3 linked regions of the Arabidopsis thaliana genome follow. Each later gene encodes a partner of the first gene's protein in a complex. Each region holds a gene or a part of one and is shown in the gene's direction. Other genes may lie near its edges. The genes, in order: LSM6A, LSM3A and LSM1B.

Evidence for each region.
Region 2: LSM6A (region 1) and LSM3A share a complex: the UniProt entries of both Arabidopsis thaliana proteins name them as parts of the heptameric LSM1-LSM7 complex.
Region 3: LSM6A (region 1) and LSM1B share a complex: the UniProt entries of both Arabidopsis thaliana proteins name them as parts of the heptameric LSM1-LSM7 complex.

What each region holds. Positions count from the first base shown.
Region 1 is NC_003074.8:22,094,316-22,098,068, forward strand, and holds LSM6A (Small nuclear ribonucleoprotein family protein), read left to right. Parts: upstream 1-2,153; 5' UTR 2,154-2,281; exon of another isoform or gene 2,282-2,500; 5' UTR 2,501-2,525; coding exon 2,526-2,640; intron 2,641-3,105; coding exon 3,106-3,219; intron 3,220-3,304; coding exon 3,305-3,351; 3' UTR 3,352-3,651; downstream 3,652-3,753. Other genes in the region: AT3G59800 (stress response protein), read right to left, coding at 282-470, 564-610, 702-837, 1,268-1,369, 1,773-1,859. UniProt on the Arabidopsis thaliana protein: Component of LSM protein complexes, which are involved in RNA processing. Component of the cytoplasmic LSM1-LSM7 complex which is involved in mRNA degradation by promoting decapping and leading to accurate 5'-3' mRNA decay.
Region 2 is NC_003070.9:7,419,329-7,423,081, reverse strand, and holds LSM3A (Small nuclear ribonucleoprotein family protein), read left to right. Parts: upstream 1-2,124; 5' UTR 2,125-2,225; coding exon 2,226-2,342; intron 2,343-2,594; coding exon 2,595-2,690; intron 2,691-3,012; coding exon 3,013-3,093; 3' UTR 3,094-3,418; downstream 3,419-3,753. Other genes in the region: AT1G21200 (sequence-specific DNA binding transcription factor), read right to left, coding at 268-1,599; SEC5B (Exocyst complex component SEC5), read right to left, coding at 3,671-3,753. UniProt on the Arabidopsis thaliana protein: Component of LSM protein complexes, which are involved in RNA processing. Component of the cytoplasmic LSM1-LSM7 complex which is involved in mRNA degradation by promoting decapping and leading to accurate 5'-3' mRNA decay.
Region 3 is NC_003074.8:4,665,605-4,669,357, forward strand, and holds LSM1B (Small nuclear ribonucleoprotein family protein), read left to right. Parts: upstream 1-1,703; 5' UTR 1,704-1,887; exon of another isoform or gene 1,888-1,997; 5' UTR 1,998-2,112; coding exon 2,113-2,173; intron 2,174-2,725; exon of another isoform or gene 2,726-2,745; coding exon of another isoform or gene 2,746-2,776; coding exon 2,777-2,845; intron 2,846-2,936; coding exon 2,937-3,052; intron 3,053-3,137; coding exon 3,138-3,200; intron 3,201-3,307; coding exon 3,308-3,385; 3' UTR 3,386-3,590; downstream 3,591-3,753. Other genes in the region: AT3G14075 (Mono-/di-acylglycerol lipase, N-terminal;Lipase, class 3), read right to left, coding at 1-51, 135-332, 438-734. UniProt on the Arabidopsis thaliana protein: Component of the cytoplasmic LSM1-LSM7 complex which is involved in mRNA degradation by promoting decapping and leading to accurate 5'-3' mRNA decay.

The sequences.
Region 1 (3,753 bases):
CATTTCCTTTAATTTTTTCATCTCTCAGAAATTTTGTTGTGCTAAGATTTTCTGCTAGATTCCCTTTTGATGTTGTCAAATTTCATTTTTAAGCAAATAAACTGAAAAACCATGATTCTGTGGGCATCATTGCGACTTTCAATCCAACAAATATTAATACATGAGCTATTGTCAAAAATATAACATTGCAACAAGGAAGAAAGCAATCATATCCTACTTTGAGTATTTTGATTGAAGACAATCTTACTCTTTGTAATAGTTCATTTGCAGTTTTGCTTTTGTCAATTCTTCAAATTGCCAAAGAATCTAGAGAGTGGTACAGGGCCATCGGTTTCGTGTTTACTTTTGCTAGAGTGTTTGTCTCTGCTGGACTTGTGCTTCTTCTCCTTCTTTGATCTTTTCGAACTTGATCTTGATCTTCTAGATTCATCTTCATCACTGCTAGATGACGACTCTGAGGACGAATAATGCTGCAAATTCATAACACAACCGATCATGGTTCATGTTAGCATAAGCTAGAAAACCTCACACTATCTGATATAAGCTAAACTTTTAGAAGGCACCTTTCTCTTTTTGCTTTTCTTCTTCTTTGAATCTCTGTCTTTCTTATCTGCGAGGTCATTGAACCATTGGCGACCAGTTAATAACGTCCTCAGAAAGAAGGTTTAGATGTCATGTTAAGTTAAGTGGATTATGTTTACCTTTTCGTGACTTATCACTAGAATAGTTCCTTCCTTTGGAGAGTTTCAACGACCTTTCTGCATCCAGCTGAGCTCTATACTCACGCATCAGTTTATCGGTATCTGCTTCAAGTTCTCCCTTTTTCAATTCTTCTTCCTACACATGTTACACGAAAGAAAGATATAATGTTAAACATTTCCTAATGTTCCATACTCACAATACAGAGAGACTGCTGCAAGTAGTAGTAAAAAACTGATATTGCAGATAATAAAAATGTTTAAAAAATGAGCATGACTAGAGTTACTTGAAAACCGCGAGATAGGGATAGATGTAATGTAGAAGGAAGACACACTCATTTTTATATAAACACACAAAGACTGCGTATCTGTGGCTGAAGATGATAAACAGCAGAGGAAAAGAAAATGATATGTTGGAATAAAGCTTCTAAATTGACGACAATAATAGCAATCTTATGAACACTAAATCATCAATGGTCAATTGATTATCTTCTATGGCATTATAACAAGGAACACCGTTCCATACAACATACAGAAGAACTTAAGTATTAAAAAGGCAAAAAGATTACCTTTTGCTTCTGCTTATACTCTTCCCAGGTAATAGTATGTGTAGTCTTGAGGCTAGCCAAACGAGCCGCATGCCACTCTGGTGTATGAAATGAACCATCCACCTGAGACAATCCTCATCAGAAATGTTCCGGTACCAATGCAAAATATCAAAGTTTGACTAATCCAAATGCTTCTTTGTGTTCACAGCTTACAACAACAATAAAAAGACTCTTGAATCACTGTAACACAAACTCTGATGCTACACTTTTACGAAATCACATTTAAACATGGACTTGATATCGTCTACAAGACCTAGCAGGTATTAGATACAAGTTCTTCCCCCAAAATTGGGACTCATAAAGGATCTCTTGTAGGCTTAATTCTAAATGCAGCTCGATAACCCAACAACACAAAAGATCAACAAAACCATAAGTAAATCAACCAAATTGGAATTTTGTTTGGAGAAGTAAAAAAAAACAGAATCAATTTGCAATGAAGAAGATGAGAGTATGAAAAGGTACAAACCATTCCGTCTTCAACCTCATCCGGCTGGGCGGAGCTGGAACCAACCCTAGATCTCTGCATAGCCTTGTAAGCTTGATTCTTCCCCATAGCTAATAGAAGATTTACCCCACAAGAAACAGTCCGCAAATTCCTTGCAGGAGAAAGAGAATTTAGAGAGATTGAGAGGAATTGTTTGTAAAATCTAGGGTTTGGGGGATTAACGGTCCAAAGGGAGAGGATTTAGGGATCTGTAGAGAAAGCAAACGAGAGAGAGACGAGAACAGAAGAAACTGTGAGGTCGAACCGAAACGCACTGGAGATTTAATTTCACCCTCCAAAGTAAAATAATAAAATCTATAAGGACTAATGTTCAATTATTATTAGTTTTAATATGAAAACTCGATCGAATCGAAATAACAATAATCATATAGTATATAGTTTTGGAAATAAATAATAAAAGCCCTTAGGACCGATTCGTTATTTCTTCGCTCTCTCTTTCTCTCTGTGTCTCGTACTCGAGTAGGTCTCAGGTAAGGAGTTCTTCTTTCAGTTCCTTTAATCCTTGTTAAAGTTTCGATTTCTCTTTACATTTTCAATCGAATTCGCTTCTATTGGGTTGAAGGTTTAGGTTTTTAGGTTTCGGAGTCTTTTTGTGATTCGAGAGATTGACTCTGAATGGTTTTTACCTTTTGAGTTTTTGTAGTTCGAAGAGCGACCAAACTGATTTCAGATCTCAATTGTTTCTGCAGTTACGTAAAGGATCGAGCTTAAAAGATGAGTGGAGTTGAAGAGAAAGTTTCTGGAACGACAAAGACACCTGCAGATTTCCTCAAATCCATCCGTGGGAGACCCGTTGTTGTCAAGCTCAATTCTGGTGTTGATTATCGAGGTGCCTCTCTCTCTCGTTAGATGTTCTTATGTGTTTTGCAAGTTCTCTATCTCTGCTGCACTTTAGGTTAGAAGCTTTGACTTAGGACTAGTTCTTTTGTCTATGTTAAGGGAATTAAAGAGTTGCTTGTATTAAGCCCACTTAAGTAACTTAATTATCATGTTATGTCTTCAGCTTTTAAATGATTCTTTTAAAGTCAATATGTGAAGCTTTTCTTACATTTTCTAAGGTTTCCTTGTGAACATTGTTCAATGGTTTTCTTAAGAACATGTTCCTTTCTGCCTGCAATAAGGTTACAATAGTTGACTGAGATATTTGAATATTTAAGTCAGTTTCTCTCATTATCAAGGCTACTTATATCATTCTTGTTGACTTCTTTCCTTTCGTGCCCGAGTCAGTTTTGTCTATGTTCTGTTCAAGCTTAATGTTGAGTTCTTGATCAAGTTTTTATTACTCTTTTCACAGGCACTCTTACTTGTCTTGATGGATATATGAACATAGCAATGGAGCAGACGGAGGAGTATGTAAACGGGCAGCTCAAGAACAAATATGGTGACGCCTTTATCCGTGGAAACAACGGTAACTAAAATCTCTCACACTCATCCTTCTCTCAATCTTCTTCTTTGTATATCTTTCTTTTTAAGTGTGGTTTCTTTGGATGCAGTTCTTTACATCAGTACAGTAAACATGACTGTAGCAGACGGAGCCTAGGCCCATCATGATCATCAACAACAACAACAGTGGTCATGTTATGGCTGCCATTTTTGTTGTCTTCTTCTACCTCATATTAAAAGAGTAGTAGACATGTACCAAGATTGTCATCCTATGTTCTTCAGTAGATTTTTGGGATACAGACATCACTTTTTTCTTAGTAATATGATACTCTTCCATGTGACCCCAGATAAAGAAGAAAAATTATTAATTTATGGCTTGATACAATCATACAAGCAAACAAAATTGAGTTTGGGTGACCAACAGATCGAAACGAGGAAGATCATTAAAGTTTAGTAATCGAATTATGTCATTTAGGGATCACTGGAAACACACATGTCAAACTAGTATAACCAGTCAATCATCAGATTATCATATTCATAGCCATCGACACATTTGAAT
Region 2 (3,753 bases), on another chromosome or scaffold:
AGATGTCGAAAACAATACAGCAGAACAATGAAAATAACCTTAACCAGTTGAGTACTGAGAAGTAGAGTTAAAACAAACCTTAGAGAGCTGCTTATATTAACCACTCCTTTCTCACTACATTCACAAACTTCATCACTGATGCAACCACAAAGATCTCTCACATCAAAGTCTCGAGATCATTCCAATCAAAGCAAGCTTACAAAAGCAGAAAATGAGACTTCATTTAGCAAAGCTATATACCAATCAAGAGAAGTGAAGCCAATTCCGTTATAATTCAACACCCAATTCCCTTTGTTTCAACTCCAATCCCATCCGATCATTCTCAAGTTTCATCCTTTCATTCTCCATTCTCATTCTCTCGAGTTCTTGATCCCTTTTCTTGCTAAACCTCTGCCACCTGAATCTCTGTTTCTCCAATTCCAGCAATTCAACTTGGATCTGAAGCTTCTGCTCTTCTAGCTGGAGAGTCCGCGACTCCATCCACTGCTTCTGCACCGAACCTGCTCTTCCACTCTCCGCCCCACCTTGATTCACATCAGCTTGAGAAAACGGTATTTGAGGTAAAGAGACTTTATTACACTCCAGAGAATTCACATGACTCGGATGATCTCCATCTTCATGGCTAAGGCTTGGTCTTATCTTCTTCAAAGGACCACCACCACCTCCATAATGATTTACCCTACAATCTCCATACGCATAATGTTGCTCCTCATACTCATCATGTTCATCACCATCACCATCATGATCCTCATCATCAAGATCCTCCATTTGATGTTTCCTAGAATCATCATTATCATGATCATCTCTGCTTCTAAGCGCCAACTGTAACGAACGCTGCAAAGCAAGGTCATGAGGCAAATGCAACCTATTCCCATTATGATACGAACACATCTCTTCATAAAAAAGATGTTTAGAACTCATAATCTTCCTAACATCATCCTTCTCTTTATCATTCAAGTAACCAATCGAATCCAAAAGCGCAGGATTCTCAACAACTTGACAAGATGTTCCTCTACCAAGCATATCATTAAGCTTCTTATACCGTTTATTCAAATCATTGAACTTATCCTCACATTGCTGCGGCGAAACATGATAACCTCTCTCAGCCATAACTTTAGAAACAGATTTCCACTTCCCTTTCTTCTGCAAAACAGCAAACTTTCTTCTACTACTACTATCTATACTCGAATCATCTCCTATATAAGAAACAGCAGTAATCAACAACTTCACCATCTTATCAGTCCATTTCACTCGTTGCCATGGAGATCCTTTAGTTGATCTATTAGCTTCATTATGAACACCATCACCACCTTCCTCTGTGAAACTTGGTTCATCATCATCACTCACTGAATTCTTCTCTCTTTCAGCTTTCTGTTGCTCAGACATAGACATGTTCTGATTCTGATGATGATCACAGGTTTGACCTGTAACCATAGTAAAGGGAAGACCTTCATGAAGTGGTCTAGAATTAGGATTGTGTCGATGCTGCTGATTCATGGAGTCTTGGTGATGAACTCTCATAGAACCTTGTAAATCAAATCCTCCATAAGATGAAGCTCCACTACGAACTACACCTCCTTGTGGAAAATTCCCATCCATTTTTGGATCAAATTTCTTCCTAATTCATCAGAGAAATCGAAGAGAAAACAGATCTCAAAAAGTCAAAACCTTTGTCAACAAAATTAGTACTGGATCTTAGGGGAATATTAAAGATCGAAACTTTAGGAGAGAATGAAGCAGAGAGGAATCGGGATGAAGAAAATAAAGCGGTAAATATATGAGAGATGAGTCAAAGGAAGTAAAACTCACAGAAAAAAGTTTGCTTTCGTCTTCTCCGGTCAGCTTCCTCAGGTTTCTCTTCTCTCTCTGTATATGACAAAAGGCTTTTTGATTAAAACAACCAATATAAAGATTATAGTAAATTTAGTGTAATGAAATGACCAATTGATACCTTGTGATTGGACTTAATATAGTTAAGTTCCACTAACCATGATTTATTTGCATTAGATGATTTATTATCTTCATAATACTTCGACGAAAAAAAAAAAAAGAGCTAACCATATTGGGCCGATATGAGAGCCCAAAAACATAGTAAAAGGCCGAATCGTAAGATGTTGGTTTGAAGTTTTTAGGGAACCAACGGTGGCGATTGCTTGAGCTCAGTCAGAGAGATATCGCCGAGAGCACTACAATTTCAAAACCCTCGGAGAAGTTATAATCAGAAAATGTCAGTCGAGGAAGACGCCACCGTTAGAGAGCCACTCGATCTGATTCGGTTGAGTATCGAAGAGAGGATCTATGTCAAGCTCCGATCTGACCGTGAACTCCGCGGCAAGCTTCACGTACGTTCTTAACCACTCGGATTCCAGAAACCAGTAACCAGATGTGATCTTTTTCGATTTTGAGCTCCTTTTTGAATTCCTTATTCGTTGAATTTAACACTAGTTTTTATTCTTTTCACAAATATCAAAATTTGGACCCATTTTGTTGAGTTTCAGTTTCGAAAGCCTCAGCGAGAGCTAATTGGCGTAGAAAACCTCATAATCTTGTTAAATTCTAAGACTCTCACTTTTGTTGTTGTTTTTGTGGTGTAGGCTTTTGATCAGCATTTGAATATGATTCTGGGTGATGTTGAAGAGGTTATTACGACTATAGAAATCGACGACGAGACATATGAAGAGATTGTTCGGGTATGTAATTCTCTTAGCTCAATAAGATTTATTAATCTATGTAGGCTTTAGTAGTAAGATAAACGTTTTTGGGTTCAAAATATTTCAGCTATCACAGTATCTATTGTCTATGTCTCTGTTTGAGTTTAAAGGAGAGCTTGATTCATGTAGAAGTTAATAGTGCTGGTTACATAGAGAGTGTTCATTACCAATATAGTAACTCTGTTTAGTTTCTCAAACTTGAATTTTGTTGTTTGCGCTCCAAATGTGATGTGCTAACTTCTCATTAGACTAGTGTAGAATCATATGTTCTTCTCCTGCTGATGTAACTTGCTTCTGTCAGACAACGAAGCGAACGGTACCGTTTCTATTCGTGAGAGGAGATGGAGTGATATTGGTGTCACCGCCTTTGAGGACGACCTAAATGTTCTTGTGTACTGGGATCGGAGTTAACAAATCTGGCGCTGAGTAAAAGCACTTTTTTCTGATTACTTGGCTTTTGAATTTGTAATTGTGTGGTATGTTTTTCTTTGTTGTCAAACATTGAAACCGAATGTAGCATTCGAATCTTGGTAATGGGTGCCTCGTTATAGTAGAATCAGTGTAACATACTTCGTATTGTGACTTTCTTACCGTTTACGATCGGATTTAGTTTCGTTTTCTGGTTTGGTGTAGTTTTCTCTAAAGATTTGTATACTTCCTCAAACTCATTGATTTCGAGCTCTATTATGAATAGTGATTGGTGACATATTTAGATGTGTGTAACCCTAGGAAAGACATTTTGATTAACCAAACCATCAAATTGATTCACAGTACAGGAGGCTGAAAACGCAAACAAGATTGATTTCATGAGAAAAGATTAATGTAATTGTAAGCATGTAAATTTACAGTAAAAAAAAGATTAGTGATGAAATTAAAAGTTTTGAGGTATCTATCGTAAGATATAACTTGTCATGATCACCAACACGCTTCGAGCATAGTAACAATGGAGAAGAGAAGTCTTATCTTCGTCTGGGTCTGGCTTGAACCGGAGAACCCATTGGTTGTGACTCTCTATAGTTTCTGCTTGGAGAATCAGTTGATG
Region 3 (3,753 bases), about 17 Mb from region 1:
AAAATATTTTGTATTGTGATCGACAAGAACCGTAAAAGCTGGCTTCAATATCTACATGGTGCAAAATTCAAAACTAAACTTCTCAATTTCTATGTTGAAAAAGTGCCTAAGAGTTGAGAGTTGTTAAAGTTTACCCCAGCTTTGGGTTCATGAATAAGGACATTTTCCTTTGTAAAGCCGGTCTCTTCTAAGAAAAACGGAAACGACTTCTTGGAAAAATGCCAACACAATGTCAACAAGTGCAAAAGATATTTGAGTTCAGTGGCTACTTCTGATCCTCTAAGTTCTACACTATCTTTACCACCAAAGACACGATCAACATGTAGAAGTCCCTACGGTTTTAGGTACACAATTACAAAAAGTTCAATTTTGACCACAAGATAATTAGAAAAAAATCCAGAACTTAAGACCGTTAAAACGATGAAGAGATGTTATACCTGCCTCTTGATGAGAAAATTGATCCCAAACGCAAGATCACCAATAGGCCACTTCCCAAGAGTCTCAGAGTAAGTAAAACGAAGAGTCTCAGAAAGAGTAGAAATAGTCTCCAACCAAGTTGCCGGAGCTTGAATAAGCCTATGCGAAACACGGTCAATCCTCAAAGAAGGACGAGAAGCAGAAGCTTCAGAATTCTCATCGTCAACGTCAGATGGACCAGCTATTAATTTCCGATTCAACGTGTAATATAAAAGAGCAGCTGCTCCAGCTGCTGTTGCCATAGTTGCAGTTGCCATGATCAATCTATCCCTAAAATCATCAATGAAACAAATTCGCTCAATCCAAGACGAAACTCAATCTAATAAGAATACAAAATTTAAAGACAAAATCGATTGAAACTACATTGGATGCCACAATTTCAATCTCCAGATGCGTTCTTAAGTATCTCAGACTTATTCCAGAAATCTCCAAAAACATGTAAAGCTGGAAAATTGGATATAATTTCGTACAAAGAACATTCTTTTCACCAATTAACCCCAAAGAATTCGGGATACAAAAAAAAGAAGCCATTAATAGAAAACTCTCACTTTCCTGAAACTTCTCGAATACCACAACAAACCCTACTCCTGATAACTATCGCGTCTTTTAACCGATGCAAATCATAAAATTGAATGTGATTTAGCTTAAAATTGAACAGGATCGGTGAACTATAGAAACAAAACCCTAAATCCTACCCCAAGAATAGCATCGTTAAAACACGAAGTTCTTTGTGAATCAAACCTGGAAAAATAAGACGAAATCGTGACCTTAATTTGAGGGTTTTACAGTGGAGAAGGAAGGTTAAGGTTGCTTTAGCTTATGTACGATATCTCCGGGAAGGGGAAGCTGCTTTCTCTCCGATGATGTTGTTAGCTACAAGATGCTGCAATGCAAAAGTGTGAAAACAGAATTTTTTGTTTTGCTTTAAATAAACTGCGCTACGTTTTTGTGCTAAGCGAACGCCGCGTAGTTTCGCGCCGCCGAGATCTGATGCTTACGTGGGAATATATTATTGGATGACTTACCCATAAAAGCGTTTTAACATAAATCAAGCAGTAAATAATAATAGTGTTAAATCGACTTTTTTGGTCCATAAATTAAAATTTATTCGAAACAGATATTTTATTAGCTTGGAAGATTAGTCTCATTTATTTAAGAAACATTCAGTCACAATAATTATTAGGAAATTTAACATTAAATTGGAAAGTGCTTAAAGTATTAAAGTACAACGTCTTATCTATCGAGTTAAGAAATCGTGGACATTGCTTGAAAATAATAAAAAAGGGACAGTGGACGGATTTGCTCGCTAGTTTTCTCTTCGAATTTTCCACAAACAAATTTTCTCAGCCAAAGTTCGATCGGATCTGGGTTTTATATTTTTTTGAAGAACCCGTGTCCGTCTTCGATCAGGTGTCGAAAGTCTCAATCTTTTTTAATCACTTTATCAATTTAAACCCTTTGGTCAAAACCCTAATTTAGATTTCTCTTTCCGTCTTCACTTTTTTTTTTTCCTGTCAAAGTTCGCGTTCAATAGCCAAATCTTATCTCTTCAGCTGGAATCTGACGAACATTATTATCATCGGTAGTGTTCTATAGAAAGACCGAAAGTTTTCTTCAATTTCAAAGTCAGTGGCGATGTCGTGGGCTGGTCCTGAAGAAATTTATCTTTCAACATCACTCGCTAGTTATCTCGATAGTAAATCCGTCTCTCTTTCTCTCTGTTTCACATATTTGTTGAACCGTATGAATGCATGTAGTTAAAATAATTGGCCGTGATGGCTCTGTACGCATTTGGGAGCTCAATTTTGCAAACAATTCTCTGTTTTTTTGACGTTTGATTTTGACTTCTTATTGATATATAGGCTGTACTATTTTGTGGCTGTATCCAAAGCTTGTCAATTTTGGTGTTGAATTGTCTCAAAGAGACATTCATTGATTAAGATATTGATTATTGAATCAAAGCTTTAGTTTTTTTTTAATTGGGTCAAATCTAACTGTTCATCAGTTATTGTTGTCAAGCTAAATTTTAGCATGCGTGAGAGATTAGATGTGATTGAGGTTGCTGGCTCACTCTTTATTCAACTTACGAAGTATAAACTTTAACCTTTGTTGAAATTTAATTCACTATCGGCTTTTTGATGTTGGTTCTTTGAGTTTAAAAGTCAATGATCTTCTTTTGCTGATGTTTTTGGGCTATGAGTTAGTTCTCAATCTCATTTGGCGTACCGTTTTCTTTTTTAGATATGAATCAATGTGCATCAGTTACTTATGTATGTTGGCTCTGCTCTTGATGATGCAGGAAAACTACTTGTGCTTCTTAGAGATGGTAGAAAGCTAATGGGAACACTCCGTTCCTTTGATCAATTCGGTATTCACTTTTCTTTCCATGTTTCTAGATTTACGATATTGTTGATGAGCGGGAGAGATTTGACTTTTTTTTGTTCGTTGTAAATACACAGCCAATGCGGTTCTAGAAGGTGCGTGTGAGAGGGTAATTGTTGGTGAACAATACTGTGACATTCCTTTAGGCCTCTATGTAATCCGTGGAGAGAATGTTGTTTTGATTGGTGAGCTGGTAAGACTTCTCCTTGTTTGTCTTTTCTTGCTGTGTCACCTCGTGTTTTCCAATTCACTGAGTTTGACCTTAAACTATGTATTAGGACACGGAGAGAGAAGAGCTTCCTCCACATATGATTCGCGTCTCAGAGGCAGAGATTAAAAGGGTAAGACATCGCATAACATGTTCATTTTGATTAGCCAAATTTGATTCATTTGTGATGCTGTGTGCGTGCTGATGATTTGGTTTTCGGGAATCTGTCTGTTGATGCAGGCACAAAAGGTGGAGAGGGAAGCGAGTGAGCTGAGAGGAACAATGAGGAAGAGAATGGAGTTTCTTGACTTTGATTAAACCAGATTGTATCCCCATTCATTATTGGCTTGATGCTCTGCTTTGGCTCGCAAGTTTTATGATGAGCCTTTTTGGTGTGTTGACTTAGGGGATCGACGCAATTCTTGTGTTTCATTTTGGATGAATATGACAATAAATCTGTGTACTTTTGTCTTTGGATCTATTTACCTTTTTAAGAAAAAAATGTTAAGCAATTTCTTTCTCTATTTTGGAACTTTTAAACAAGGAGCTTGCCTATGGCTACTACCAAACGGAACAAAAATGGAGCAAATGAGTAGAGGACGTCGCACATTGCAAAATTTACATGGTACTTATTGGTTCTGTGATCAATCAGGACTTTTATAAATAGAAGACATATGGCACAAACA